Linked DNA regions of Struthio camelus. The protein of the gene in region 2 purifies or fractionates together with the protein of the main gene of each other region. This does not show direct contact. Links are inferred from orthologs where the notes say so. Each region holds a gene or a part of one and is shown on either strand. Other genes may lie near its edges.

Region 1 (7,893 bases), on a different chromosome or scaffold from region 2:
TTGTCTTGCATACAGGCTTTCATTTCTGATATTTTTGTATTCTTTCAATGTATTTGTATTTTTGAAATCTGATCAGGTCAATATGTTTAAGCTGCAAATGTTTGTGACCATTGCTTCACATATCCACTGTGCAAGGGAGGGCTGGTCAGGCAACTCATATGACGTTATTTCTGCTTTCCGATTGGCCTAGTTCAAAGTACTTTCAAAAACCAAACTCATCTAATGTGAATATTCATATAAAGAGACATTTGCGCTGGTGTTTGTAATCCTTCCTGGATGAGCTTTGTTGCAGGTGGAGTTTGCCGTTCAAATATTTGCAAAAAGTTAAAGGTCCGTACATCCCGCTGAAGTAAATTTGCTTCACACAAACGATCTCAACTTTTGTGTGTGTCTAGAACCCACCTACCTCTCCAGGTAAGGCTTTTCGCTTTAAAATAGGGCATAAAGCGGGATAGAGGAGAGAGCACAAAGAACAGGCGCCGCTCAAGAGAAGGGCGGGAGGCGTTACCGCGAGGGGAGGCGAGAGCGCGCCTGTGAAGCAGAGGGATGACGAGGGTCTCGCCGAAAGGAGGCGGCGAGGAGGGTCTGAGGGGTGCGGCGCTCAGTGAAACGCCCTCTGAATGGCGCGGAGAGGGCGAAGTGAGCGTTTTTACCTGTTCTCGTCCTCGGAGGGCTGGAGGACGTTCCCTGGGACGAGCCCGGAGGGAGGCCAGCAGCTGGCACGGAGGTGAAGAGGGCTGGGGGACGCCGGCGGAGGAGCCTGCGGCCGCGGGGACTGACGCTCACGGCCGAGGCAAGGACGTGCGTGGGGCGCCTGGGGGCGGCACCACCATCGGGCTGGTCGCACCCACGCTGCCTGGCGGGGCAGCCCACCCGCCCGCCCACCCGCCCGCAGGGGCTCGCGTCGTGGCACGGGTAACAGCCTCTAGCTGAACCGTTTCCATAGGGTCTTATCTAGTGCAGTGCATTCGCCACCCGCCGGTGCCGAACTGGGACGTTTCATGGCCAGAGCAGCTGAAATTATTCCCTGACGCTCGGCTGAGATTGCTGCCATCTAAGCTGATTTCTGTGCTGCCTTTGTAGCGCCATGCATGTAGCAGAAGACAGCTGCCATGTTTCCCTTCAGCCAGCTTGCGTGGAGAACTAAAGCACCTCCTTCCTCTCACCTTTCCTTACAGCCGGGTTTCGGGGCCTCTTGTCATTCTCCTTGCTCACTTCCGGACTCTCTAATTTGGCCTCCTCCTCCACGAAGCACGGTGTCCCACGCTGGGCACAGACTCCAGCTGGGCTCAACGCATGCTCGGCGGGCTCGTGACCGTCCCGCCTTGCGTGCGACACGCCGAGGGCGGCACTTGCCCTTCGTGCAGCAGCCTTGTGCAGTGGCTTCCTTGAGGCAGAGGTGGTGATCCTCTTTGCAGCGCTGCTTTTGCTGGTGGTGTTATTCTTCAGTCTGTGTATCTGATTTCTCCTTCCTGAGACTAGCTCTTTGTACTTCTCTTTATTGTACTTCGTCTTGTTGATTTTGGACCATGTCTTCAATTTGTCGAGATCCTTTTGAATTCAGAGCTTGTCCTCCCCAGTGCCTCTGGCCCCTCCCAGTTTGATGTCATCTGCAGTTTTTGTAAGTGTGTTCTCTACTCCATCGTTCAAGTCCTTAATGAATATATGGACTAGAAACAAGCCCAGGACAGACCCGTGGGAAGCGCCCACCTCGTCTGACGCACAGCCGCCATTCTTTGGTGCAGTTTGTCAACCAGTTGTTTGGGTGCAGCCGAACCATCATGTGATGTTTTTGTGTCTGCAGTGCTATTTGTTAGTTTGCTTATGAGAACATCACGTGGAAGAGTGTCAAAAGCCTCCCTGAGATCAAGATGTATGGTATTTACTGCTCTCCCTTCATTCACGAGGCCGGTTACCCTGCCACAGCAGGAAGTCAGGCTGGCGTTGACATGATTTCTTCTTGAAAAATCTACACCGACTATCTTTTATCACCGTATCATCCTCTGGGGCATGTGCATTGATTGTTTAATGATTTGTTCTAGTTCACGCTGGGAGCCAGGATGATACCATGTCCACAGGGATGATTCCCTGTGCCTTTTTTAAGAATGGGTTTCGTGCTCACCCTTCTCCAGCCCTTTGGGCCTTTCCTCCTCTGGGAGCTTTCTACCAGAGCCCTCATGGCTCCGCAAGGATCTTGGCTAACTTCTTGTCTGCTCTGGGTGGTTTCTCAGGCCACCCTGACCCAAACCAAATGCACCTCCATATCCTTTCACCTGGCTCTTCTCCGTGCTGGCCTTCTCCCTTTGTTAAAATTAGTTGTTAAATCTCTGGTGACAATGAACCTTTTCATATGAAGACTGGAGCAAAGAGGCTTTCTATGTGTCCTTGGTTATTTTACTCCCTTTTCTTGTTAAGTAACAGATCTTTATTCTCCTCTGTCTCCCCCTGTCTTCTACTACGTTTGTACAGCACATTGAATTCTTTTTCTTGTTGCTTTTTATGTCCCTTGCTAGTTGTAACTCATATCATACATTGGCCTTTTTGATTCTATCCCTACATGCTTGTGCTATTCCTTTATATTAATCTTGGATCATCTGCCCTTTGCTGCTTTCTTTTTGATTTTCTAGTACATAAAAAGCACCGGATCCAACTGCAATTGTCATATGCTACGCTTTCTCCCTTTCCTCTTCAAAATACCTCTTAAAACAGCCTAAGAACGAGCTCATTCACAGATGCTAAAAAATATTTGTCAACAGGTGGTCACCATCCAGTGGTGGAGTTTCTAGAGGGGCTCACAGGGATTAGCTCTATGTGTGATCCCCTTCTCTGTTTTGGTTGATGATCTAGAAGTAAATATGAAACGTTCACTGCTATGGCTTGAGGATAATCCAAAGGCTGGCAGCATGATAAATAGCAGTCGTCCCGCAGAGCAGCCCGGCTCGCTCAGCCCATTCAAAGGCGCTCCAATGTAAGCAGAAGGATGAGATACAGTGGAGAAGCATTGATCTGGGGCGGAGCACAGGCCACACATGCAGCGGAGGGGGCGGTGTCCGGGAAAGCAGGCACTGAAAAGCATCCAGGGTCAGAGGGGACCACCCCGTGGGACACTATGGCAACCGGGGCTGACGGATCCCGGGACCTTTCCCTGGGGAGTGAGCTCAGTACAGAAAACTGCTGGCAGCTGAGGTGTCCTCCCATAAAAAGGTGTTCCCTGAAGGGCAGAGCTGTGGGGCACCAGCAGCGCCGGGTGGCAGGAGCGCTCAGCAGTCCGTGCGGTAGGTCAGCTGGACCTGTTGGGTCAGGACGCAAAGCGCCAGCTCCCAGTCCGTGCAGCCACAGCAGGCCGGGAGCAAAATCCAGCCCTTGCCGCGAGACACCCGGGCGTTCTGGCGGTGCCCAGGCCCCGGGCAGGGCGGCAGTCTGCGCAGGGGTGATGGCGGTGCACGTTGGCTCCCCCAGGCTCGCAAACACCACCACGCTTCCCTCGTAAATTCACCTGTTGTTTCGGAGCTCTGGTTGAAATGCGGCGCTGCGGCCGTGCCCGGGGCGGGCGCTGGGAGCTGGGGCGCTGCCTGGCTCCGTGTGCCGCGCCGGGGGCCTCAGGCGGGGAGGCCCGACGCCAGCGCTGCGCCTGTCTCCGCCGATGAAAGCGCATTGTAAGCGCGCAGCATCCACCCCTCAGCGGGGCGAGCCGCGCACAAAGGCTGCCCAGAACGAGCGGCTTGGCGCCCGCAGAATCGCATTCTTCCCGACAATGGGCTCCCCTCCCCCTGCCGGCCCGCAGCAGCTCCGATCCGTTTATCCCCGAAACAATCTCAGCCCAGCTGCAGGCTGGGGGAGCGGCGGCTGCGGCGAGGGAGGGGGCAGAGCCCTGTGCTCCTTCCTCCACCTCGACCGGGGCGTCGCTCCCGGCTGCGCCGGGCCCAGTCCCCCGGTCTGGGTAAGGGCTGCTGCTCGCCGGCGGGCCGGGACAGCGGGCTCAGCCTCGCGGAGGAGGGCAGAGCCGTCGCCCGCCGCCGGAGGGGCAGGGAGGGCCACGACAGCCCCGCGCCGGGCTGTCTGCCGCTGCCCTCCGACCGGCGGAGGCGGCCCAGACCACGCTGCGGCCCCGGCAGAGCGGGGGCGACGAAGGCGGCCTCGGAGCCTGCGCGGGAGGCGAGCCCACCGCCGCCGCGGGGCGGGAAGGCCTCCCGGCCCGGGGCAGGGCGTCGCGCCGGAACACCGCGACCAGGCCGCCGCCGCCGCCTCGGCCGCCGTCCCGCCGTGACCCCTGACCTCCCCGGTGACCCCTGACCCCGCCCGCTGGCCCTTTCAGGGAGGGCGTGGCCTGGCCGGGAGGCCCCGCCCCCGCGCGCCCCGCTGCCCGCCGCGGCGTGGCCCCGCGCGGCTCCCGTCGCCGCGGCGCTCGCGCGCCCCCTAGCGGCGCAGGCGGGTGCCGCCATCGCGACGCTGCCTGTCGGGGCTCTGTCGCGACAGGCGACGGGAGCGGGGCCGGGCCGGGCCCGCGGGGGGCCTGGCCTTGCCGCGACGGGGCGGCGGCGCCCCGGCTGCTTCTTCCGGGGGAGGGGGGCGGAGGGCGAACCGGCCGCGGCGCTCCCGGGCCTCGCCGCGAGGACCGGACCGCACCGGACCGGACCGGGGGGCCGCCGGCCGCCGCGGCGGGGCTCTGCCCCGGGGTAGCGAGGCAGGGCCCGGTTCCCGCAGCCCCGACGGCGGCCTGCCGCGGCCTGCGGTCCCGGGGGGGCCGGGCCCGGGCCGCCACGGAGCCCCTGGCGCGGGGCTGGCCTCGCTGCCCGGCCCCGAGCGGGGCCCAGAGCGCCGGGGCTGGCGGGGAGGCGGAGCTGGGCACCCGGGGCGGGCGGCCGGGCCCCGGCACCGCCCCGAGGTCGCGCCGCCTTTCCGGGGCGGGCGAGGGGCTTCCGCGGGGGCGGCCCGGTTCTGCTTCCGGCCCGGCCTCGGACCCGGCTCCGGCCCCAGCCCCGGCCCCGGCCCCTCCGCCGCCGGCATGATCAGCGCTATCCTGGTGTTCAACAACCACGGGAAGCCGCGGCTCGTCCGCTTCTACCAGCGCCTGGTGCGGGCCGGCCGCGGCGGGGCTGGGGGACCGGGACCGGGCCCGTGTGGAGCCGGTCCGGGTTGGGGGGGGGGGACGGGCCCAACGTGGGGTGTGAGGGGGAGGCATGCTCGATGTGGGGCTGGCGGGGCTGGCCTAGTTCGGGTCTGAGGGGGTGCGGGCTGCAGTCGCCCCCCGGCTGGGCCCAGTGCAGGGCTTGCCGTGGCCCCGGGAAGGGTGCCCGTGGCTGGGGCGATCGCTGCGTGTCCGTGGGGCTGAGGGGTCTTGCCCACGCTCGGCTGCAGGCACCGCTTCAGCCCAGCGCCCCAACCCAATCCCTCAGGATGTCCCACAGTCAGGTCATGGGGGCTGCCCTAGCGGCTGCTCCCGTGGTGCCAGGGCTGCAGGGAGCTGTGGCCTCCCCTTCGCTCCGAGAGCTGCCAGCTCACCGTGTCCCTCAGGCTCTGCTGGCCCCACAGCAGTGGGGGAGAGCAGGGGTGTGGGTGCTCTGTGCCTTCCCAGACGGCAGGCCCATGGGTCTTTGCTCTTGCCTCGCTGCAGGCAGAGGAAGTTCAGCAGCAAATTATCCGAGAGACTTTCCACCTGGTCCTCAAGCGGGATGACCACATCTGCAACTTCCTGGAGTGTGGCAGGTAACCCTCACGCCCCTCGCTGCCTGGAGGGCAGCTGTGCCGCAGGTTCCCCTTGGCTGGGAGGAGCCGGGCTGTGTCCTCCCTCCTGCTGCTGGAGCCCTTCCTTGTGTCTCTGCAGCCTGTTTGGTGGCTCGGATTACAAGCTGATCTACCGCCACTATGCTACGCTGTACTTCGTCTTCTGTGTGGACTCCTCGGAGAGCGAGCTGGGCATTCTGGACCTCATCCAGGTTGGTCTCTCTGGAGTGAAGTTTGCTGCCAGAGGGAGGCCACAGTGAGCATGCACACAGTGGAGCCCACCCCGCACCAGGACAGCGGGTTGCTGTTTCTTCTCTGCCCTTGAGCTTTTGGCCGCTGCTGGGCGGAGACACTCCCCAGAGCAGCTGGATGTGCTGAGATGCAGACGCTTGCTCTGCCAGCAGCAGGACAGTGTAGGTTGTGAGTCCCTCCTGCATATCCTGTTACAGACCCTCCCTTCCAGGCTGGTTGAAATGAGTGTGAAAGGGGCTAGACATCATGTTTCAAGAGCGTGTCCCTTGCCAGGGCCCTTGCTGAGCCCCTGCTGGGTGCAGTTGTGGACAGTGCAGGAGACATCCCTGAATCCAGGAGTCTGGAGGGGATGTCAATGTTAAAAGGGAAGGTATTAGAAGCGAGAGCCCCTGGAGAGCCTTGCATCAGCAGTATGCCACTGATGTGAGGTATCCTGTGCCCTCTGCGTGCTCCACCTTAGTAGTACCAGGAGCTCTGACAAAGTGCTTAGCCATGAGAGGCTGTTGGGTGCTTTCCTCTACTGCCAGAAGGTCCAGCCTTCTAAACCTTCCAGATGCATTTACATGTCTATAACAGCTTCCTGGGAGTGATTGAGAAACTGTTCTCTTGTGAGCTCAGACAGGGGAGGGTGTTGCTTGACATGTGTTAGCTGATACATAACTCAAAACTTGTCTGCAGGGAAACGCTGGGGAAAGTCTGAATAAACTTATTAAAAAGTGAATTTTTAAAAATTTTATTCAATCACTATGTGGGCTTCTAAAGGGACCTCTGCTAAATCCAATTAAAGGCACATGTGAGAGTGTCTGCATAGCAGTTTAATGCAGTTTAGTTAATGTTAGAATTATGCCTTTGGTTACTTTTGATGAGTTTTGAGAGTATTCCTCTGCAGATCAGTCTCTGATTTTTTTTTTTTTTTTTTTTTTACAAGTTCCTCTTTCTTCCCTTTTAAGTTTGAAGCCACACCAGCACGTGACAGAGTTAATATTTTGTCCCATTGGAGCAGGCTTTTCCTTTTGGAGTCATCTTCCACACTCTTATCAAACTCTGGAAAGTAGCTCCATGGCAGTTACCATTTAAATCACCTTTTCTAGCTTTTTTTTTTTTTTCAAAGATCCTAAGCTAGAAATGAAGTTTTCCCAGCTGGGAATTGTCTGTGGAGAAGAGTTCCCAACTGTAGAGCGTTTCACGCTTGTCCTGTTCATGTGTCCTACTGTAACATATCCAACATCTCTCAGTTGTCCTTCCTGATTCCAAGAGGGCTCATGCCCTGCTCGGATCACCTGCTGTGATCATGTAGTTCCCATATTTCAACCCTTTCAAGCTGTTCTAGATGACTGCAAGCCTGGCCCTTGTGGAAGAACACAATGACTAGCCATTGTCCCAGTCAGGGCCCTGTGACTGCAGTTTATCAGAACGTTGGCACCTGTTTTTTTCCCCCAGAACGGCCAAGTTCCGTGTTTCAGTGTGCTTTACCCTGTGCCAGGCTCTTTGGACTTGGGTTCAAACCACATCCTTGAAATTGGAGGTTCCGGTTGCCCTGGGTAGTACCAGGAACAACTGAAGACAATAGCAACTGGGTAGAAGTAACAGTTCAGAGGAAGCGTGACCCACTGCTGGAGGAGGAGCCCTCCGAGTTTGCTGGTATTACACCAGCTGTGCAGTCCGTTCACAGCAGGCTCAGCCAGGGCCAGGCTTATGTTCCAGCCACATGCCTCTTGCCAAGACAAACTTTCTCCTAGGGTCTGGAGCTGATGTGGGCTTTTTGATTTGGTTTCTGTGGTTTAGTGCGGGCTGGCACTAAGAGCGTGTCTGGTCGTCCCAGCACTATTGGGCAGTGCCTGTGCGGAAAGAGGCCTCCTTGTTTGGCTGCTCGCTGCGCGTATCCTGCTCGCAGCTCTGCCTAACCCCCTCAGCCTG
Region 2 (6,842 bases):
CGAGTATTTTGTAGCTCGCTCTGTGCACGTGTCCAACTGAAACAGTTTATGTAGATGGTCCTCTGAAACGAGAAGTGCTAATGAGAAGGAGGATTATGCACAGGGAGGTCTTAATTTCCTTTTTACAGGAGAAGGGGACAGATCAAATACTCCACGCGGGCAAGAGCTTTACCTCAGCAGTTACCCTTCTGTAAAGTTAGCTGTGGCTCCCCTGGAGAGTAAGTTAGCGGATGTGTTCCCACCCCCAGATTTGTTACCTTAGTGCCTTTCTTGTGTCTGTACAACTCCTTGGCTTTCTCCGAATCCGCTTTAAAAAGACGAAAACAGTACATTGTTGTTAATACTTTTTCCCCGAACATTAGTTTATGCTTGGAAATATAAATGAGTTAGTCGCAGTGCAACTGAGGTAGTAGAGAGCAGCTGCTAGAGACCAGGAGATCTCAGCCAAGCTGGGGTGCTCCCTACGGCAAGCCCTGGCCGGTGCGCAGGAGATGCATGCGTTGCCCTTGGGGCTGACTGGTTTGAGCAGACTACTGACTGCCCTCTACTCCCTCCCTCCTTCCTTCCCCTACGCGTCCGAGTTTCTCAGGCTCTGGGTCTGTTCTGGTACGGGGCCTGCTTAAGCAGATCCTCCCAGGAGAAAGGAGGCAGGACCTGCTGTTCAAGGCTCTATGAGAAATTTGCAGCAAAGAGACATGGGGGCAGGTGGGCTGCAGGAGGGGTAGCACCCAGCTCACCAAATCTTACTCTAGCATCATTGCTGCAGACCCAGTGGATCTGCTCGTGCTATGCCTGCTTAATTAGCCAGGGTCCTTGTGAGTATACATTTCTGTGCTGTATGCTAGAAATCACTCCATTATCATCCTTCCTTGTGTACTCCACATCACTTCTGCCCTGTTCAGTTTGTAACAGGGTAATTGGAGGTTGCAGCTTCTTTTGTTTTGTTTCAGGGGTGCTAATGTGTTTTGAAGTAACAATGCACTTACCGTCTTTTCAGTATGCTGAATGGTTTGTACCCAATGTAGGGGGATCTAACAGAAATAAGCGGTTCACCATGAAGTGTAGCGGTTGTATAAACGACCAAGCCAAAAAATCATAACAAATAATGAACGTTCATGTTCATAGAAGGCAGACTGCATTATGGGTGAGGAAAAGCTATTTTGCAAGAAAAGCACAAGCAAATCAAATTACTCATGCAAGAGGTATGATGATGGAAGCAGTGTTTTACAAAGGGACTGACAACATCAGCCATGAGAAAGGTTCAGCCAGCTGTTGCTAGGAGGTTTGAATTGTACATAGCCTCTCTTTTATTATAAAAGAAAAAAAAATGAATGGTATTCCATTCTAATGGTCAAGAATTTAATCTGTGATATGTTGGTTGCTAACTCAAAGCACAAACAAATCTGGTTTTGGAAAAAATGGAATAAGTAGATTGCTTCCAGTCCCTGTGCACTTGCCTGAAAATTCCTCACAGAGGGCAAATTAAATATTAAGATCCTTGCACACTCTCTAGTGCTTAATTTTGCTGTCCTTGCCCAAAAATGAAGTTTTCTGTTGTGCAAAATAACTATGACACATTTAAATCCCGCTTACTCCTTCAGACAAAACTCCCTTTACAAGCAGTTCTGCTTTAGGCAATCTTAAATTCTCATGATAAGATTTCTATTTCTGAAGAAGAAGTTGAAGTCCTTGAGGTAGAGAAGCATGAACAGCAGGTGACAAGTGGCAGCTGTACTTCATAGCTGTAATGACAGGAAGAAACCTGATTAAACCTGTTTAAAATGTAGAATTTCTTCCTCTTATTCTCCTGTTGTTTTCACTCATTTTATTTCCTACATTGCTTTCAAAACTTAAGTAATACACAGAAAACAAGTGAAATCCTTTTAATGTTTATTCAACAAACATGCATCAAAGGCTGCTTTTTAAAGGGAACTGCGCGGAACTCTTTAACATTCACTATTATGGAGCTTGATTTTATTCATTCAGATGGTAAAATCAAGGAGTGCAGCTCTGTGCTCTTGTCATGGAAGAGAAAGGAAGGAAAAAATGGTAGTTTGCCTTCTTTCTGCCATCTGGATTTTGAACTAGTTGTGGCATAGTGCACACACCTTAGTAAGAGCTGTCATTGACAGCAGGGTTCCAGTGATACTGGTTGTCTCTGGTGTAGTGTTTCAGTACTGCGTGGCCCTTTGGGCGTTGTGCATGTCCTTTCTTGAACCTAGAGTGCCTCTTAAAATAGAGCGTATGAAAAAAGAGCAGTATAAAGCTGGTGGCACTATCTCTCCAGCCTGTCACAGTTGCTGGAGCAGTGTATTGGGACAGCATGATGGAAAACATCTTCCCAAAGAGCTACTAGGGCAAGGCTTTTGTTTCCTGTGATCGAATATTGCTGCCCTGGCCAGTCACAGTTCTCTGGTTTGACTGGAATATGAGCCTAATTATCAGTCTGTTCCTGAAAATCCCTTTGACAGGAAATGTGACAAGACGTTGACCCTATCAATGTCAATTTAGTCCTCCCTATCTGTTTATTCAGTAGCATTTCCAGAGAATGAATTTCTTAAATGGTCCCTTAATAGTCCTAAATCAACTGATTTTGATGTAATTTGTGTTAGAGATGCTGTTCCATCTTCATGTAAAAAATGTAGTTTTAGCAATCAGTTTTTAGGGTTTTTTTTTTTTTTTTCTAAGCAACTCCGTTGGATTTTCAGCTTCTACAGTGAAGCTTTCAGTTCTTGCAGAACCCAAAGGGAATGCCAGTTATTCATTATCTAATACTGTTCAGTTGTTCTGGATCTAATATTTTGGTGTTGGCAAGAGATGGAACTATATGCAGTTGCCAGCAATTAAAGGATTTATGCTGAAACTAAATTGAACAAAGGCAGCATGCAAACATATTATTGGAAAGCCTGTCTCTCAGTAGATGGAATACTGCGCAAATTCTTAGGCAGACTGTGTTTGTTATTAGTAAAAAACATGGAGGTGGTTGGAAAGGTTGTTATGGATACTAAATACTGATTTAAGACAATTTCATAGTATTCTTAAAGGACTACTTCCTTTCAGAAAGAATTCCAGAAAGCTATTACCACTGTTTTAAATGACAGTGAAGATAGATAAATGTATACTGAGCAGCTGGGATGCAGACTGGTTAGTTTTTAACAGGGATGACCCTGCTGATAAAATATGCATCTAAGCAGTTACTGTACAGACACAAGCACTTGATGATCTTGGATTAGAATTGCTTTGATTCTGGGACTTCCACTTGAATAACAGGGAAGGACACCAAGCAGTTCAGACGAATGACTGCAAATATATTTCACCCTAATAGTATGGACACCTAAGCTGTGGTATCCTGTAAGTGAAAAGACTGATGATACTTGAGTAGCAGCAGTAACATATGCCAACAGTGAGAGGAGCCCTGCAAAAATGGTAGTTGCAGAACACTCACGTATTGATGAGATCTGAGACTTTCAGGTGCATCATCTTGAATCACGAATACTGAATCACAACTACTAATGCTGTATCCCGGTTAGTCCCAACTAGTTATATGTGTGTTCAGAGCTGAAACGCTGGCTGTCTTGTAAATGTCATTAAAGTAATCGATAGGATTTTTCTTCATTAGGTTTGCTGCTTTAAGAGCTGGTGAATGGGGTTGGGGAGGTGGGAAATGTAGGTTGTCTGGTTTTGTCATGTGTCAATCCTGAATTTATAAGAACAAGCTGAACTGCTGGCGTTCTGGTTGTGACAAAAATACTAGCTTCAAAATAGAAACAGACCTACCTATTTAGGTTTATTCATTTCTCTAGTTTACTTTAAGCATTAGATTGCTTTCCGTTCTGTTAAGGGCTTTTCACTACAACTTCATCTCCACAAATATATAACAGAGGCTCAGACAATCCACTCCCGCTAATCCTTCCACCATTCAGGGCAGCTGCACTAAATACCAGGAACACAGAAGCTCTGGAATACTTTGCAAGTGATGGTATGTTCAGACTTTTACTTGTTATAGTCCATCCCATACGGAGACAGTCTCAGTGATTATTACTAGCTGTAAAGGGCGTTGCAGAGGCCAGTGATTAATTCCTTACTTCCTGGTTTGCAGAGCTTTGACTGTAACTCAGCTCAGTGTTATGGAAAAGCAGCTGGCAAGAGTATCTCCGCATTAATTAAATTTTAGAGTACCTAATTGTAGCTGAGGACAAGCATATGCTGTCAGTGTTGTTCCCATGAACACAGCCTTTCCTTTCTACCAGTGAGCACTGCTTCATCTTGTGAACTTACTGTGACTTTAGTCCAGATGTTTCTCTGCCAAGAGACAGAGAAAAGAGTGAAATTGCAATATCCAAATTTAATCAAAAGAAAAGATAAAGAATTGGAATCAGCATACTGAAGACACCTTAGCTAAGAACTTGTAGTTCTTCTAATTCTGGTAGAACAGAAGCGACTAAAGAGAAGCCTGTGGAATTTCATATGTCAGAGCTCTTGGCAAGGATGGGAAATCTGTGAAAAGAAACTGCAGAACCTCTGCTGGGTTACGTGTGCTGCAGTGCTTTGTGAGATCACTCACAATCGAAGGCTGCTAGTCTGTTAAAAATGAGCATGAATGGCTTGCTCTGGGCTAAAGATGAAAGTAATAATCCATGCACATCTTTAGTCTGCTTTTTCGAATATGCCTAAAAGCAGAGATAGAGGAGATATGTCCTTTTGAAATATTCCTAGAAATACGCCTTTAGTGTTTTACATCTATTGCTTTTATGCTGCCATCTCAAAGTGGTCTCTGTGTACAGTACTGCAAAGGTTTGACAGTTCTTAAATTTTGGTCATGTGCTTTCACTACTGTTTTTTAAACTTAAGAAATTTGATTCGAGACCTTTACCTTCAAAGTGTCCCAGTTCTTAACCTGCTTTGCTATCTGGCCACTTGTGTCATTTATTTGACCTATTGGTATAAGGAATCGTACTGTTACTGGATTGATTTCTTGTCTTGCACTGTTTTTAATCTCCCCCCCCCTCCCCTCCCCCAAAGCTCTTGTGAGATAGAAGGAGAAGGTAGGGTAATGAGACATGAATTCAGGGATGTCTAAATGTCTTAATGAAGTCTGGCACTCAAAAAATAGATTAGCTGGGAAATCTTCTGTATTGGAAGTCCTGTAAGTAATTTTTGTTAAATACTAGCTTACATAAGATATCCATCATCAGTATCCATTTTAATTGGCTGATGCCAATTGTTTGGCAGTGTATGGGATAAATCAGATGACTTGGTCTTGCACCTAACAGATTGATCCTCCCACCGCTACTAGAGCTTCTCTGTTGTCACCAGCGGCAGAGAGAAGCGAACAAGCCGAGCTGCCCAGTTACCCGTAGGACCAGCCTTGTGCCGGTTGCTGTCAGAGTGTGCACTGCCTGCTCTGTGCTTGGTCTGTGCAGAGAGAGCTGCCATTTTTCCGGAGCACTTCAACTCACATTTCTTAGCAACGTGCTGCTGAAACTTGTGAAGGAGGAAAGGGGGAATGTGTGGGGTTTTGAAGGGAATTCTTGTGCTTGAAGTAAAGTAATAACGTATAATAGGAATTTGTGTAAAAATTGCAGAAGATGTGGTAGGCAGTCAGGTGGGTTTCTGCTGCTCAGCGTTCCACAGGTGCTGTAAAGCCGTGATCTGCCAAGTGTGGTCCTCCGGATCAGTTTGCTATTCCAGTTTACCACATGGCAGCCCAAACACTCGGATGAACACAACTAGCATCTGGGCTGCTTGGGGCAGGAACACAAATGAGTAGATAGAGGCAGTGGTCAAGTGCTGCTGCCCTTTCTGGCTGCCCAGGCCCTCCTCTTGCATATCAAGTCATGGTCTAATATTGTAAGTGGGATTTCTGGCAAAAAAAGTGGCTATGCTAACACAGTCATTTCATCTACCAGCAGAGCCAGCTGTGATCACTGCATAAGTAAATGACTGTAGTTCGTTAGCGATTATGGTGGCATGCTGGACTGCCGTATTTGTTCAAGTGTGTAGTAACAAATGCAATGGTTTCTGATCAATAGAATCTGTATGAGCTTTAACATCAGGACAACTGCTGGGGCCTAAAAGTAGCCTGTAACACTTCCAAGTATATTTGCCAGTGTATCATCCACAGCTGCCCCACAGTCCAGCCTTGTTCCCTCACCGCGGTCTATAGATCAAGTCTTCTGGAAATGGGAGTCTTATCAGTGCAGCCCGCACTAGCGCTGCTAATACTGACACTCTCCTATGCAGCTCTGTGTGCATTTACTGGGAACTGGGCTTTATCTTTAACAGATATGCTATTGTATCCATATTAAAATGTACAGAGAACTATTCTGAGCTTTATAGCTGATCACCTTCATATGTTTGGGCTGCCTTGGTGTGGAACAATACTGACATTCAGTGGTTGATTATACTTGCCACTGTTGTGTGACTATCCAGGAGATTTTGGAGGGGTTTAATGTTCAGCACTGGCTAAACTCGGAACACATTTGGTTAAACTGGATTAAAGCAATTGTGTTAAGGTCCCTTTATAAGAATGCTGTGCTCGCAGTATAAAAGTTGTCTGTCTTTTTTTAACAAAGATAGAGATGAATTTGATCCATGAAAGGTATAGTGGAAACTTGCAGTAGTACTAGTTTGTAGATTTGTTTCCTTTCCTACTCCTAAGCAAACTGACAGTTACAGTTTCCAAGTTAAACTCCTTTTATGCACCGTGTTGGCTTGATAGGATTTCTCCATCCATGTATTGACTGTTGCTCTTTGTACATCTACCAGCAAAGACTGTGCTCTTTACAGGAGGTATTTAAGAGATGGCAAGGACCCCCTGAAGGTGAGCATGTTTGTGTCCT
Region 3 (6,962 bases), on a different chromosome or scaffold from region 2:
CTTCATTTTCACCTCAAATAGGCGTTTGTTTGGTTATGAAATATACTTGATAGCCGTGAAGGCTGGCACAGCATTGCCTGTTCTGAACTGCACAGCAAGCCGGCATCACGAGCCAGGCGATAAGGCCCACATCCTGTCCATTTGCTGCCCGCTTTATCGGTAAGAAATCCGAGGCAATCTCGGCATACTACAAATACTTCTGGTAAGGAAACACGCTTCAGTTCATGACAGTAAAGGAAACATTTCTGTAAAACCAGTCATTGCGGCACCCTTTAATTTAGATCTATGCAGTTGCAGGAAAAAGAAAGAGTTCTAAAGATCTGTGTGTATTAAAGATGACTACAAAAAACATTTTGCACTCCCCTGTTGAATGTCACACTGAATTTCATGTATTTGCTAAAAAAAGGTGCATTGACGATAACACAGGATTTGCAGCTCTGCCCTTCCCTTAGCAATGGCACTTGTATATGACATTCCTTCAAAATGCTGGAACCCATCCTATTTATCAACTGCCATGGCTATGTAGGGTACTTCAAAACTCTTCAGCAGACTGCCTGTATCTCCTATAAATATTATATAATAGCATCACTGGGAAGAGTTACTATGGAGATTGGAAAGCTTCCCTTAGGGCAGTGACAGAAAGCTGTAGTTTTATTATAGATATAAAAGCAGTAATTAGAACACAAATTCTGTCAAGACAGGGCACAAAACAAAAAGCTTTCCAGAGGCTTTCTGTAACGAGACAAAAAGCAACCCAAGCTACCGTTTGTAGCTTAGCTGTTTGCATTTTTGGCCCTGCTGTATTACTAATAAGAAGGTATACATACACACAGGTCACTCAACCATGCAGTTAGTCAACACACAAAGATTTATCCCCTTCTATTTTTGCGCCAGCAAGATGCAGTTGATCTTTATTGTACGTAGCACAAACATTCACCTCCACAAAAATCAACTTTCAAATTATGTAAGAAAAAGGAGTTGACATTAGCTACCTGATCTTAAACACTTAACAGTAAGCACATGAATGCACTCTGGTCTGTAGGCTCCACAAAGCCTCTGCAGAGATCAACAGTCTTTAACTAGCGATTTTCCAGGTATACGGTTGACAATGCAGCACTATATGCCAAGGTATAATAGCTTCATCCTCATACCTAATCTTTCATTAGGGATCAAGTCTCTTAACAGAAACGGTGTGTTTCTGTTCATATTCACGACTGCTTGCTAAGACCCTACTTTCTAAATTAAGTACTATTCTTAGCATATTCCACAGATGTGATCTGGATAAATGCACCAAATGTTCTCCCTACTAGAGTAGAGAGCTTCAAAAACACATCAATTCAAAAGCAGTCTATCATGATAACACTAAAAAACCCTCCCCAAACTCTGAAGGGCTAAGTTCTCCCTTCCTGTACAGTTTCAGATTACGATATAGCATAATCTCTATTCCCCCAACATGTGTGTGTTTAGAGAAACTATTCTGTAGCATGTTTACAAATCAGTCTTAATCCAAACTGCTCATTTCTCAGTCTTCTGCAATTCGACTTCACTGCCTGCACAGACCCATACAGACAAGCTAATAACACAAGAGCACTGCAAGCAGCATGTCTATTTTCAGCAAGGATTACATATATATCCTCCTCCTTATCACAATTGTTACTTTGGGATGTATTTCACATACTTGCAGTGCCTTCCTGAAACATATTAGAAATAACCTTTACTGAGCTTCAAGGGAAAAAGGCAACCTTGCACCTCAATACTGAAAGGAAAATAATTCTGAAAGTGTTCTATGAAAAAAGAGCAAATGTATAAGTTACAGAAAGAGATAATCATAATGAAATTATGTATCAAGGTAGTTAAAGGGGCCCATCACTCACCTTTTATTAAAGCCTAACAAGGCAGAGTTTTTCAAAAGTCCCTGACCATATAACCATTAGAGCTTAATTGTAAATAGCCTTATCCAGAGCTGTAGAGAAGGTCACCCACACACTTGGGGGAATAATGCTCCTGATGCTTCAACTGGCTAAAACTGATTTACAAGAAATTCTCTCTTGTATCACAGTCAGCGGAAGGCATGCAGGCATTCAGGACATCTCCTGCTGACTGGGGACACTGCTGCACCACAGGTTCCTAAGTCTGGCACAAAAACTTAAAGTTCACCATCCCTTACTCTGCCCACGTTTCTGCATGCTCTAACACTTAATTGCATACTTGGCTTTCAACTACTGGCAAAAGCACCACCCCGCAAGACAAACAGCATATGCATTTTACAATTCCACAGGGGCCCCCGGAAACAGGCCCCCCCGGGCACCGGCTGGGACCCACCGCTGAGGTTTGCTTCCCACCCGGGGCTTGTTCTGTCCCCCGCCAGTGACTCCCCAGGAGCTGGGCTCCGACTCACTGTTATACTGGACTCCCTTGGCAAACCTCCTCTGCAGAGCCTGGTTCATGGACTGCAGCCCTGCAGGGATATTCTTGTCTCTGACCGGAGTCTGGTCCGAGCCCACGAGCTTCTTCAGGGCCGAGAACATCTTCCTGGTCCCCCACCTTCGCCACCACCGGCGTTTCAGACACCTCCAGGGAACGGGCCGCGGCTCCGGGGCTCAGGGGCAAGACGGCGCCGGGGGGGGCATAGGAAAGGTCACGGCTTGGCAGGGCCACGGGCAAGTCAGGGCTGGGGCAGGGCCGGCGGGGCCATGAGGGGCGTCCGGGGCGCGGCAGGGCGCAGGTCTGCGGGCTCGAGCCGCCGGCGGGGCGACGCGGCGGGGAAGGGGGCTCAGCTGGGGCCCCGCCGCGTGCCTGGGGGAAGGGGCGCTAGCCGGGCATGGCCCGCGGCTGGGGCGGCGCAGGGTGGCGGGGAGAAGCTCCTGCGAGTGGCGGTAGGGCCGGTGCGGCGGCTCAGCCCCGCCGGGCCCCGCCGCTCGGGGCCGGGCGCCGAGAGAGGAGGCGGCGCGGGGCTCCCGCCGCCACCGCCATCTTGCCTCTTCCGCTTCGCCGCGGAGGGGCCGGGAGGCGGTAGCGCCGGCTACGGAGGCCCGCGCGGGCCAGCAGAGCCGGGGAGGCGGAGCGCGCCCGGCCGGGGGCGCTGCCCGCCGGGCGGCCGCGGGGGTGCCGGTGCTCGCCGCCGTCGGGGCGGCCCCGGACCCTGCGGGCTGAACCGCACATCGGCTGTGGGGCTCCTCCGAGGGCCCCCCCCCCCCCCGCGGATCCCTCAGGGCCCCTGCGACCGGCCGGATCTGCCGTGATCCCCCAACGGCCTCCAGTGACCCCCCGTAGCCCCCAGTGACTCCCTATAATCCCCTCTGTGACCCCGAAGGATCCCGCCCTGGCTCCCCATAGCCACTATAAGCCCTCCTGTGACCCTGTGATCCCCATGACCCCCTGTAACCCCTCATAGCCCCTGTGACCCCCCAGGGCCCCCCTGTGACCTCCCATAACCCCCCCATAACCCCCTCTTGTGCCCCCCTCAGGGCCCCCCATGGCACCCCCTAACTCCCCTTAATGCTCTCCTATGACCCCCTCCAGGACCCCCGATGACACCCCCATAACTGCCCATAAAACCCATGACCCCCTGCGATTCCCATCATCTCCCTGTGATCCCTTACTGTGGCCCCCCCAACCCCCTGCTGACCTCCCGCCCCGCTCCCCGTCCCCACCCTCCTGCAGGGCCCAGGATGGGGCAGGGGAGATGCCTCGTCATGGCCTGGGGGGTACTGGAGGGGGCCGTGATGTGGGGGGACACGGCAGGATCGGAGGGTAAAAGGGGACAGCAGCCCCCACCGGGGCGCTCGACTTTGTGAGCACCCTAGGGCCCGGAGCTTCCCTATGTGCGTGCCCCGGGTCCTTGGGACCTGGTCTCGAGGGTGCAGCCCCCAATAAGGACCCAGGGCCCTGGGTGTAGGGCAGAGGTACCGATGTCCCGATGACATGGCTTGGGGACTTCGCCCAATGCTGACCTGGGACTGAACATCACTAAGATCAGCACCCCGAGCGAGGAGGCTGGCAGCGAGTGCTGGCACTGCCCTGGGCTTGCAAGGATCCCCTGGGCAAAGGGGCACCTTGGGTACCGCCTGCAGTTCCCATGAGATCATAACCTGCCCAGGACCTGGGGCAGCATGGAGCAGGGCGCCCTGGGGAGGAGCAGGATAGCCTGGCTCCAGCTAGTTCCCTTGCTGTGCTCCTGGCTGGCGGCATGCTCCCTGCATCTGTCCTCCGGGATGCTCGCCAGCATCCTGCTGGCAGGAGTGAGACTGAGGGAGAAACAGTGCCAGCTGCGGGGGGCTTGCAGTCCCGCTGGGCCCTTCCTGCTGCTGCTGCTGTGCTGCCATATGAACTATTTGCCTGTAGGGAGGTGCCCGCTGCCCCCTTCCCAGCTGCCTGTCATCAGCCCCTGGGAGACGGGGGGGCTGAAGCCCATCCAGCAGGAAGCCCTGAGCCCCCTCCGGCACACGTTGGCTACCCCAGCACCGAGAAAGGGGCAGGAGGCAGAGGCTCAGTGCGGGTCAGCCAGCAGCCCTGACAGGATGGGGGTACCCAGTAGGGGAAGTCAATGAGGATTCAACAGCATCACCTAGACCCTCCTGGAACTCCCACCCCCACCCCTCCCTGCACCTCTGCAGGTTCCGGATGGACACGCTGGGCTCATTAGTCACGTTAGAGACATTTACTGCTTGGCCAGGGCCGTGGCTGTGCAGGCGACGCACCAGGGCTGCTCCCAGCGCCTTCCTGCGTGGCCAGGGCTCCTGCGCTGGGTGCAGGCAGCTCGTCCTCTGCCCCGCATCAGTTCGACAAATGCAGAAACTCCTCTTCCTCTGCAAGAAGAGAAGTGCATGGTGTGACAGCCAGACCTGTGGACCCCATGGTGTGCTGCTCACTTTGTCCCTGCCATCAGGGATGGTTGGGAAGCAGTAGGGACCTTCCATGCACCCCCTTGCACTTGAGGGTGTTGGGCTCCTGGCCCCCATCGATGCTCATGCAGCCCCTGCAGTGGGGCACAGTGGCCCTGAGGCAGTGCCTGACACAGAGGGGAGCAGCCCCACATGGGAGCTCAGCTCAGAGGTGTGCTGCAGCCTTCCGAGCTCCAGGATACTTGGCATACTGGGAGCAGGTTCAGCTGGGGTTGGCCATGATCAGACATCCCTGTGGTCACCCCTCTCTGCACTAAGATTTCCGCTGCTACACTCAGGAAAATTTGACTGCTCCTCCATCTGTCCTGAGCACCGAACAGTGTCTGTTACCATGGGCTCTGGAGGACTGTGTCTCCTCAGGTGGACACAGGCGGATGGGTTTGAGGTGCGAAGGGGCCATGTATGCTGACACTGAGGCAGGGCAGCCACTGGGTGCATGGGCTGGGCTGGGCTTGGTGGGGCAAGGGGATGCATTAACATCCCCCAGCAGGAGCAACCGTCCTGATAGATTCCCGTTCTGGAAATCCCCCAGTGATGGAGACTCCATGTCTGCCCTGGCCTTGCTCCCCAGCACTTCACTCTACCACTTCTCAGAAGGCTCTGACATGGAAGTCCCTGTACCAACTAGAGCAGAAGGGTCCAGCGAGCATCGCATGGAGGGTAAACCCCAAACTGAGACCCCAGTTTGGTGCTCATTTGTTGTGAGGTTCTCCAACCCTGCCAAATCTTTCAGCTGCTCTTCTCTCCCTGTGCTATGCTGGGTATCCCCTGCAAAGAGGCTGTTGCTTCAGTGCTCCCTGCTGCACTGAAGCCTGCTCAGAACCCTTTCATCAAGATATTTTGAAGTCCAAACCTGGTCTCAGCAACTCTGCAGCCTCTATAATCCCCCTACTTGATACTGTCTGCAGAAAAATGATTGTATTCCTCAGTCCATCAGAGTCTCAGACCCGGGATGGACTCATCCCAGATGCAGTACAAACCCATCCCATACCCATCCTGGACTGAGGACAGACCAATCCTAGACCCAGGACAGATCCATCCCAGATCCATTCCAGACTCAGGACAAACCCATTCTGTATTCAGGATAGACCTGTTCCAGATGCATCCCAGGCCCAGGATAGACCCATCCCAGACCCAGGACCTGTCCCAGACCCAGAATGGACCCATCCCAGACCCTGGATTGATCTGTCCCACACCCAGGCAGACCCAGCACACCCAGACCCAGAGGAGAGCATGACCAGAGGTGCTGCAAGCAGGTCCCCCCGGCTGCTGCCCTGGTTTCCTGCAAGCATGACAGCGGTGGTATGGAAGGGAGAGATGGTGCCGTGTGGGCAGGTTGGCCCATACCTCCCAGCGGGGGAGCTCCACAGTACTCCTTGCACTCCTTCTCCGAGTAGAACTGGTTCCCGTTGCCCTTGCAGCCTCCGTAGTTAAAAGTGATGCACTTGCCCTGGGCTGCGTCGAATGCCCAGCGTATCACCAGCTTCTGGCAGGGACCCTGGACGATGGGCAGCCTGCAGGCAGCTGCAGGGACACAGGGCAGCTCTGAGGGCAGGCCAGGTCCCAGGGGCTCAGGCCCAGGGTGCTGTGCTGACCCCAGGTGCACACCAGTACCTCCCACACAGATGTTGGGCAAGACCATTCTCAGATGCCCCCAATTCCCTCTGCTGCCTCTGCAAAGGCACTTCCTGCACCTTCTCTCCATGATGCCCTCAGCCCACCAGGATGTCCCTGGTGGGACGCTTTGACCTTGCTTGAGCAGGGAGGTTGGACTAGATGATCTCCAGAGGTCCCTTCCAACCTCAACCATTCTGTGATTCTGTGATTCTATCCTCCACACTCTCCTTCCCCATCTCCCTCTAGGCTGGCTTTGCTCCCCCGAGCCCCAAGCCCTGAGCTCTTGCGGCTGGCCAGGGAGCGTGCTGCCAGACTATCCCGCTCACCCTCTGTCCTGCAGGCCTGCAGGCACTCCTTCTCTGAGTAGAAGTTGTTGCCATTGCCCAGGCAGCCGCCATAGAGGAAGGTTTCACAGGCCATGGAGGATGAATTGTAGAAGAA
Region 4 (7,657 bases), on a different chromosome or scaffold from region 2:
GGGATGTGCCTGGACCTGGACATGGGATGATGGAGCACTGCCTGCTCTGGGGGCTGTCTGGGGACCCCTGAGACTCCTCCAGCGGCAGGTGCTGGGCCCCAGGTGCTGGAGGGGCTCTGGCACGGCTGCGGCACCGGGCGGCTGCACTCACGTTCTGGTTGGGGCTGAGGAACTGGGTGCGTGCGTAGCGTGTCAGCATGTTGATGATCACCACTTGGCCCCACTCCTCCACATCGATGAGCAGGTTGCAGAGCTTGCGGTAGTTCTTGTGGATGAGGTCGATGCGCTCAGGACAGACCTCCTCGAATGCCATCACCACACTGCCAGCCACCAGCTGGAGACATAAGGCTTGAGGGTAGCTGGAGCACTGGGCACTCACTGGGGAGGGCAGCATCCCTGCGTTTTGGAGCAGGGGAGATGGGGCTACCCACTCACCGTGGTCTTGTCTGCCAGCAGCTTCTCGATCACTTCGATGAGCTGGTCCTTCTGGTCTGAGTCCAGGCTGTGAGGGGAGAGCAGGGTCGGCATGGACAGGAGCACGTCACAGCTGAGCCAGTCCCATGGGGCTGGCGCTGCCTCGAACTACCCCATTCCCCAGCCGTCTGCCCGCCAATGCCAAGCAGGCAGGACCCCAGCACTGTTACCCCAATGTTGCAATATAACTGCAGGAAGAGGTACAAATCTTTAAACGAGTTCTCCTTGTCCTCAGCATCACCACGCCACCCCATGGGGCCCCAGTCGGCCCACAGCCCCCCATTACCTGTACAGTTTGGGGATGGCGTGGGCGGCCGTCTTGCGCACATATGGGGACATGTCCGATGCCGCCTCCTTGATGGCCAGCATCATTATGGGCACGATGATGGGCACGCGGATGCTGGAGAGGACCCGCAGGGCACTGGCACGGATCAGCTGGTTGGGATCCTGCAGCAGACATGCACAGCACTGCAGTGAGTCGGGATGGGCTCTTGGGCCCCACCAGAACCCTCCGGGATGGGGCTTTTGCCAGGGGAAGGATATAGCTGGAAGTCCCCCGGGGCTGCCCAACCCCACTGCAGCCTCCTGGCCCCAATTTTGCCCCCCAAAAGGAGTCAGATCGCCTACCTTGAGTCCTCGCTGGAAGGTGGAGATGGAGAGCAGGGCCAGGTCCTGCTGCTCCTCAGCGTAGCGCACCAGGTACACATACACCAGCTTCTTCACCTGTGGGCCGCGTGGCAAAGGGTGGCCAAGGTGGCAGACATCCCGCGGCACAGGGCCTCCCCCAAGGATTACACCAGGACAGCTGCCACACCAGGACAGCTGCCATCACCTGGTGCCTCCATCCCACCCAAATTCAGGCCACGCTAGCCCTCCCCAAAGCCTTCCTAATGCCAAAGAGCATCCCTCCAGGGACCACTCCAGACCTGAGGACATCGCTGGGTGTCAGCCCCTTGCTCTCCCCGCAGCGGGGTCACCCGGCAGTTTCTTGCCACGGGCCATGCATGCAGCGGCTGAGATCTGCCTCACCTCGATATTCTTGCAGGCCACATTTTTGACGACGGCTGGGAAGAGATCGGAGGCATTCTTCCCACGGGCGATCATCTAGGGAGGAAGGAACAGCGTGACACCAGGCACGCAGCCTGAGCGAGCCCACAGCATGGAGTCGCCAAGCCCGTGCCACGGCAAAACTCACCGCCACAATCCTCTTCATGGCCTCCAGTTTGAGCGAGTCCTTGTTGCTATCCAGCATCTCCTTGAGGTCATCATGCCTGTGGAGCACCCCATGCACTGAGGAGCTGGCTCTTGTCCCTGGCAGCCCTGGCTGTCACCCAGTGCCCACCTTGGAGGGTCCCCATGTGCGTGCTGGGCACCCCACAGCCTCCAGCACCCGCTGCCAGCACTTGCCAAAGGGTAGCAGAGTGACCCTTGGGTGCTCAGATCGAGGAGAACCTCAGCTGTGGGACAGCTTCCCCCTCAGGCATGTGGAAACGCAGGAAGGAGAGTCCTGTTTTCCATTTTATTCCCTCTTCCAACCTGCTCCCAGCCTGGCTCAGGGTTTCCCTGGAGGCAGAGGGCACTAGCTTGGCTTTACCCCCTTCCCATGGTCAGGCTGGGGCAGGAGAGGTGCCTGCGCCAGGCTGGGAACCCAACCCACAGCTGCTCGTGAAATATTTATCTGGGCAGGAATTCAGTTACAGGCACATGGAAAAGGACGCCGCGGCCCTGGGAGCGTTGCTGGGGCGACTCGCATGGGCTGAGGTTGTCACTCGGGGCACTGTCAGCTCCTTGTCACCAACATCTCTTTTTATAAGGCTGGCTGGCACAGCTGTCCCCGCGGTCCCCGAGCTGACCTGGCGACATGGCACCGCTAGGCTTGCAAGGCTACATCCAACTGCAATGGCCCCTTCCCAAATTGGCCGGTGGGGATGGGAGCTTTCCCAAAACAGCACCGATTTGCACCAAAAGCACCTGAGCATTTGGAGAAACAGTGAGCTGAACGCTCTCCGTCAGTCCTCGCCATCCACGAGCGCACACCGGTCGCTAAACGAAGCGTTACGTCCTAAAACACTCAACCGTCCCCGAAACCCCGGCCGCCGGGGGTTGTACCCGCCTGGAGCCAGCGGCACCAGGGCTCCCTGGCAGGACGACGCTCGGCACGAGCCCCCGCCGCCACCATCCCGCAGAGCCTCGCGGGCACGGCGCCCGGCCCGCGCTCCCGCGTGCCTCCCTCCCGGGGCTCATCTCTCTCGCAGTCGCCCGGCGGGCGCTCGCGGGGGCCCTTACCGCAGCGGCTGCGGCTGCCCGGCGCTGGCGCCGCTCTCCGCCGCGGGGCCCTTGAGCAGCTGCAGCTCGTCGGCTCGCAGGGCACTGTAGCAGGCCTGCTGCCCTCCGTCGGCGGCCAGCACGGGGCTCCTCGCCTCCTCGGCCGCGGCGCCCACCGCCGCTCTCCCCAGGCCGCCCGCGCTGGCCGGCAGCTGCTGCAGCAGCTTCTGCATCGGCGCCATCGACAGCATCACCTTCGGTCGGGGCAGCCGGCGGGCGCAGCTCCCTCCGACGCACCTCCGAGCCGCCCGTTGGCCCCGCGCCGGTGGCGCCGTGGCCCCGCTGCCGGCCCGCTGGGCTCTCTGGCATGCCGCGGGCCCCGCTCCTCCTCCCGGCTGCGCCCGCCTGCAACCTGATGCTGCGGCGCCGGGCGGCCCCTCTCGTGCCAGCCGCGAGGGCGGCCGCGATGGCCCCGGCCAACGGCGCGTCGCCCGGCAGGGCCAGGGTTTCGGCTCATCTCGGGCTGCAGTGGGGGAAGGCGCTCGGTGGGGACTCGCTGGAGAGGCCTCAGCGCTGGCGGCTGCCCCGCTCCCGGGCCGTCGCCGGGGCCTGGCACTGTGCAAAGGTCCTCCTGCCCCAGGGTCCCCCCCGTCACCCTGAGCCCGAGGTGACACCCAGGGCCCCGTCCTGCATCCAGGGACAAGGCTGCTGCCTCGCCAGGTGGGACGGTGCCGCAGGGAGCTGCTTCCGTGGGCATTTCGAGTGGCTTCGTGGGGGCACAGAGCCCCCAGCCCGCGGCCGTGGTCTCCCTCAGCCACCGCCAGCCCTAGCTGGGCACCTCAGTCACCAGCCCATAAGAGGGGACGAGCGGGTGGTGGAGGATGTGGGGCACCACGGAGGCCCTGACATCCCCGAGAGGATGCCGGGACGGACGAGGAGCCCGGGGCAGCCCGAGACCTTCCCCGCGTGCCGGCCGAGGCGCCGCACTGAAGAGCTGGGGCACCCCTGGGCCCCGCCAGCGGCCCTGAGCCCCCACCTCCCGGAGACGGGCCGGGTGTCATCCAGCTGTGAAGGGACAGGAGGACACAGGTGGACACGCCATCCCTGGACAGAAAGCACAGCACCATCTAGTGACTACGCGCCTTGTTATGGCCACATCCAGGAGTGCTAATTAGTCCAGCCAGAGCTGCCCCATGGCACTGGCTGCAGGGTCCCCCGGCTGCACCCCAGCCGTCGCTCCTGGGCGCCGGGGTGGCGCATGGGCCCTTTCCCTGCTCCCTGCCCCGTGCCTCGTCCCGGCCGGGCTCCGGCACCACCCGCGAACCCGGCAGGGTGTCCCCCTCCGGTGCGTGTTGCGAGGCCTGGCTGGGCACCCCCGTCCCGGTGGGGACGCGGTGGGCAGGACCCACAGCCGCCCCCCCACCCACGGCAGGTCCAGCAGCATCTCCGGCCCGAGGCTGCCACCACGGGCGTGAGCAGGGCTGGGGGGATGCTGCCGGCCTCCCTGCGCTGCCCGCTGCAGAAGGGCTCCGGGGAAGGCAGCACCCGGGGGACGGGGACACCGTTGGTGGGCGCAGGGCTGGGGGATGCCGCTGGTGGGGGCAGGGTTGGGGGACACCACCGCTGGGCGCAGGGCTGGGGGATGCCACTGGCAGGTATAGTGCTGGGAGGACACTGCTGGTGGGTGTGGGGTTGGGGATGCTGCTGGTGGGTGCAGGGCTGGGGGACACTGCAGGCGGGTGCAGGGTCAGGGGATGCCACGAGCAGGTACAGGGCTGGGGGACACTGCTGGTGGGTGGGTGCAGGGCTGGGGGGACACCGTGGGTGGGTGCAAGGCTGGGGGACGCCACCAGCAGGTGCAGGGCTGGGGGGACACCGCTGGTGGGTATAGGGCTGGGGGACACTGCTGGGGGGGTGCAGGATGGGGGGACACCACCAGTGGGTGCAGGGCTGGGGGGACACCACCAGTGGGTGCAAGGCTGGGGGACACCACTGGCAGGTGCAGGGCTGGGGGACACCACGAGTGGGTGCAAGGCTGGGGGACACCACTGGCAGGTGCAAGGCTGGGGGACACCACTGGTGGGTATAGGGCTGGGGGGACACCACCAGTGGGTGCAGGGCTGGGGGACACCACTGGCAGGTGCAGGGCTGGGGGACACCACCGGCGGGTGCAGGGCTGGGGGACACCACCAGCGGGTGCAAGGCTGGGGGACACCACTGGTGGGTGCAAGGCTGGGGGACACCACTGGTGGGTGCAGGGCTGGGGGACACCACCAGCGGGTGCAGGGCTGGGGGGACACCACCGGCGGGTGCAGGGCTGGGGGACACCACTGGCAGGTGCAGGGCTGGGGGACACCACCGGCGGGTGCAGGGCTGGGGGACACCACTGGCAGGTGCAAGGCTGGGGGACACCACTGGTGGGTGCAGGGCTGGGGGACACCACCAGCGGGTGCAGGGCTGGGGGGACACCACCGGCGGGTGCAGGGCTGGGGGACACCACTGGCAGGTGCAAGGCTGGGGGACACCACTGGTGGGTGCAGGGCTGGGGGACACCACCAGCAGGTGCAAGGCTGGGGGGACACCACTGGTGGGTGCAGGGTCGGGGGACACCACCAGCGGGTGCAGGGCTGGGGGACACCACTGGCAGGTGCAGGGCTGGGGGACACCACCAGCGGGTGCAGGGCTGGGGGACACCACTGGTGGGTGCAGGGTCGGGGGACACCACCAGCGGGTGCAGGGCTGGGGGACACCACTGGCAGGTGCAGGGCTGGGGGACACCACCAGCGGGTGCAGGGCTGGGGGACACCACTGGTGGGTGCAGGGTCGGGGGACACCACCAGCGGGTGCAGGGCTGGGGGACACCACTGGCAGGTGCAGGGCTGGGGGACACCACTGGTGGGTGCAGGGTCGGGGGACACCACTGGCAGGTGCAGGGCTGGGGGACACCACCGGTGGGTGCAGGGCTGGGGGACACCACCAGCGGGTGCAGGGCTGGGGGACACCACTGGTGGGTGCAGGGCTGGGGGACACCACTGGCGGGTGCAGGGCTGGGGGGATGCACGGGCAGCCCTGCGTCCCCCGCGATGCTCCCGCTCCCGTCCTGGAGGGCTGCTCGGCGCAGGGGCGCCCACCACCGTCCCTTGGGTGCACCCGCCCGGCGCAGCCCGCCTCGGAAGAAGCCGCTGCTCCCAACCCGCCCCAAAACCCGGTGCCTTTGCCCCAAACGCCCCTCGGCCCCTCGCTGGCCTTCGCCCCCAGCGGAGGGGGAAGCGCAGCCGAGGCGGCGGCGGGGGCCTGCGTGGGCCACGGCCTGCCGCGCTGGGCCGGCGACCGCCGCCGCCCTTAGCATCCCTCCGTCCTACCTCTTGTAGTCGGAGGAGAAGATGCCGCCGCTGGCCGGGTCGTGGCCGTACTCGGGCTCGCCCAGGCTGGAGGAGCCGCCTTTCTCCTCGCTGTAGGCCGGGCCGGCGGCCATGGCGGCGGCCTGCGGCGCCGGAGCGGGATGCGCGGCGGCGGCGGCGGCGCGGGATGCGGCGGGTTGGGATGCCGGGATGCGGCTGATGTCAGGATCATGTGGAGCCGCCGCCGCCGCCGCCGCCGCCGCTGCCGCCCCTTAAAGGCGCAGGGGCTGCCGTGTCCCCCCCCGGGGCCACCCCCGTCCCCGCGTCCCCGGCCGGGCCGGGCCCTCGCCCTCCGCCACCCCTCCAGCGCCGGCGCTGGGTCCTCGCGACCTCTTCAAACCCTCCCAACGGGCAGAAAACCGCCTTGGCGGGTGCCGAGCAGAGGGACGGCGCCCGCAGGCATCTCCCCGGGGCCGGCTCCGCCGGGAAGGCCGGCCGGGATGGGGAACCGGCGGCAGACCCCAGGCGGAAAAATAGAGCGAAGCGTGGCGGTTAACGCTGCTTCTTCTGCGGGAAGCCCCGGGTGTTTCCCCAAGCGAATTTCCCCTCCGCGTCTCTTCAGAGGAAGCGGGCTCGGGCCGAGCCTGCGATTGCGAGCTGCTGGCTGAAGGCCCGGCCCCACGGCCACGGCCGGCGCCCGCGGCGGCGCGCGAGGCCGGCCGGGGCTGCCAGCCCGCCGAGGTGGGCTCGGAGAAGCAAAAGCGGCGCGCCGTCGGTTTTGCCACGCGGTTTCTTCCAACGTCTTCGGGGGCGAGATGTGGGGTTGGGGGGGAGACACCCGCTCACACCGCCCGGCAGCTCCCCTGCCAGACGAGGCGCCCGTGAGCCGGCGTCGGAGCCGGGGCCGCCCCGCGCCCGCGGCCCGGCGCGCTCACCTCCCCGCCGTCCTCTCTGCAGTCGGCCGAGGGCAATTCGACCTGCCGGGGAAAGGCAGCCGTCAGCCTTGGGCGGGGGGCCGGGGGATGCCGCCGTTCGGCAGGCCGCGGCCCGCGCGGGCGCCCTGGCGGGATGGTTGCCGCCCCGGCAGCGGAGCGGCCACTTGCCCCCTCTGCTCACCAGGCTCAGGTAGAAATGCACCAAGTCCAGGAGGTAGAGAGCAAAATGAATGCAGTTGTTGGTGACGAAAGAATATTTGGCTTCAGCGTTCATCGCGCCCCGAACTTTATTTTTGAAACTGCTGAGGTCGAATCCGTCCTTTTTCCTGTAGATTTCGCATTTCCCCCTCTCTCTCCTCATGGCGTGGTAACCCTCCTTGCTGATTCGTCCGTGGCCTCTCCGAACGCTCGTGTCTGGAAAGGGAAATTGCAGCCACAGCCGCGCGCCGCCTCCTTGGCCGGCAGCGGCCCCGGCCAAGGCCGAACCCCCGCAGGAAGCAGGGCTCCAGCAGCCAGCCAAGAGGAAGATGGTGGCCTTCCTGCACGGCCCCAGACCGCCCGGCCTCCCTGCACGGCCCCAGACCGCCCGGCCTCCCTGCACGGCCCCGGACCGCCAGGCCTCCCTGCACGGCCCCAGACCGC

What was found.
Region 1: the proteins of AP3M1 (region 2) and AP3S2 purify together in Homo sapiens (co-immunoprecipitation; 3 studies listed by BioGRID and IntAct, counting the BioPlex papers as one, with this or other methods). This does not show direct contact. The link is inferred for Struthio camelus from reciprocal best matches to the Homo sapiens genes AP3M1 and AP3S2.
Region 3: the proteins of AP3M1 (region 2) and RABL6 purify together in Homo sapiens (co-immunoprecipitation; 3 studies listed by BioGRID and IntAct, counting the BioPlex papers as one, with this or other methods). This does not show direct contact. The link is inferred for Struthio camelus from reciprocal best matches to the Homo sapiens genes AP3M1 and RABL6.
Region 4: the proteins of AP3M1 (region 2) and AP3B2 purify together in Homo sapiens (co-immunoprecipitation; 3 studies listed by BioGRID and IntAct, counting the BioPlex papers as one, with this or other methods). This does not show direct contact. The link is inferred for Struthio camelus from reciprocal best matches to the Homo sapiens genes AP3M1 and AP3B2.

Annotation. Positions count from the first base shown.
Region 1 is NC_090953.1:675,392-683,284, forward strand, and holds the start of AP3S2 (AP-3 complex subunit sigma-2), read left to right. Parts: upstream 1-4,884; 5' UTR 4,885-5,005; coding exon 5,006-5,074; intron 5,075-5,614; coding exon 5,615-5,706; intron 5,707-5,824; coding exon 5,825-5,936; intron 5,937-7,893. UniProt on the Homo sapiens protein: Part of the AP-3 complex, an adaptor-related complex which is not clathrin-associated. The complex is associated with the Golgi region as well as more peripheral structures.
Region 2 is NC_090948.1:25,427,966-25,434,807, reverse strand, and holds the start of AP3M1 (AP-3 complex subunit mu-1), read left to right. Parts: upstream 1-3,839; 5' UTR 3,840-3,976; coding exon 3,977-3,979; intron 3,980-6,842. UniProt on the Homo sapiens protein: Part of the AP-3 complex, an adaptor-related complex which is not clathrin-associated. The complex is associated with the Golgi region as well as more peripheral structures.
Region 3 is NC_090961.1:13,366,843-13,373,804, reverse strand, and holds the start of RABL6 (rab-like protein 6), read right to left. Parts: upstream 3,005-6,962; 5' UTR 2,529-3,004; coding exon 2,399-2,528; intron 671-2,398; exon of another isoform or gene 1-670. Other genes in the region: protein AMBP, read right to left, coding at 4,777-4,808, 6,252-6,428, 6,848-6,962. UniProt on the Homo sapiens protein: May enhance cellular proliferation. May reduce growth inhibitory activity of CDKN2A.
Region 4 is NC_090953.1:25,247,735-25,255,391, reverse strand, and holds the start of AP3B2 (AP-3 complex subunit beta-2), read right to left. Parts: upstream 3,019-7,657; 5' UTR 2,991-3,018; coding exon 2,761-2,990; intron 1,746-2,760; coding exon 1,670-1,745; intron 1,579-1,669; coding exon 1,504-1,578; intron 1,198-1,503; coding exon 1,102-1,197; intron 922-1,101; coding exon 761-921; intron 503-760; coding exon 436-502; intron 335-435; coding exon 152-334; intron 1-151.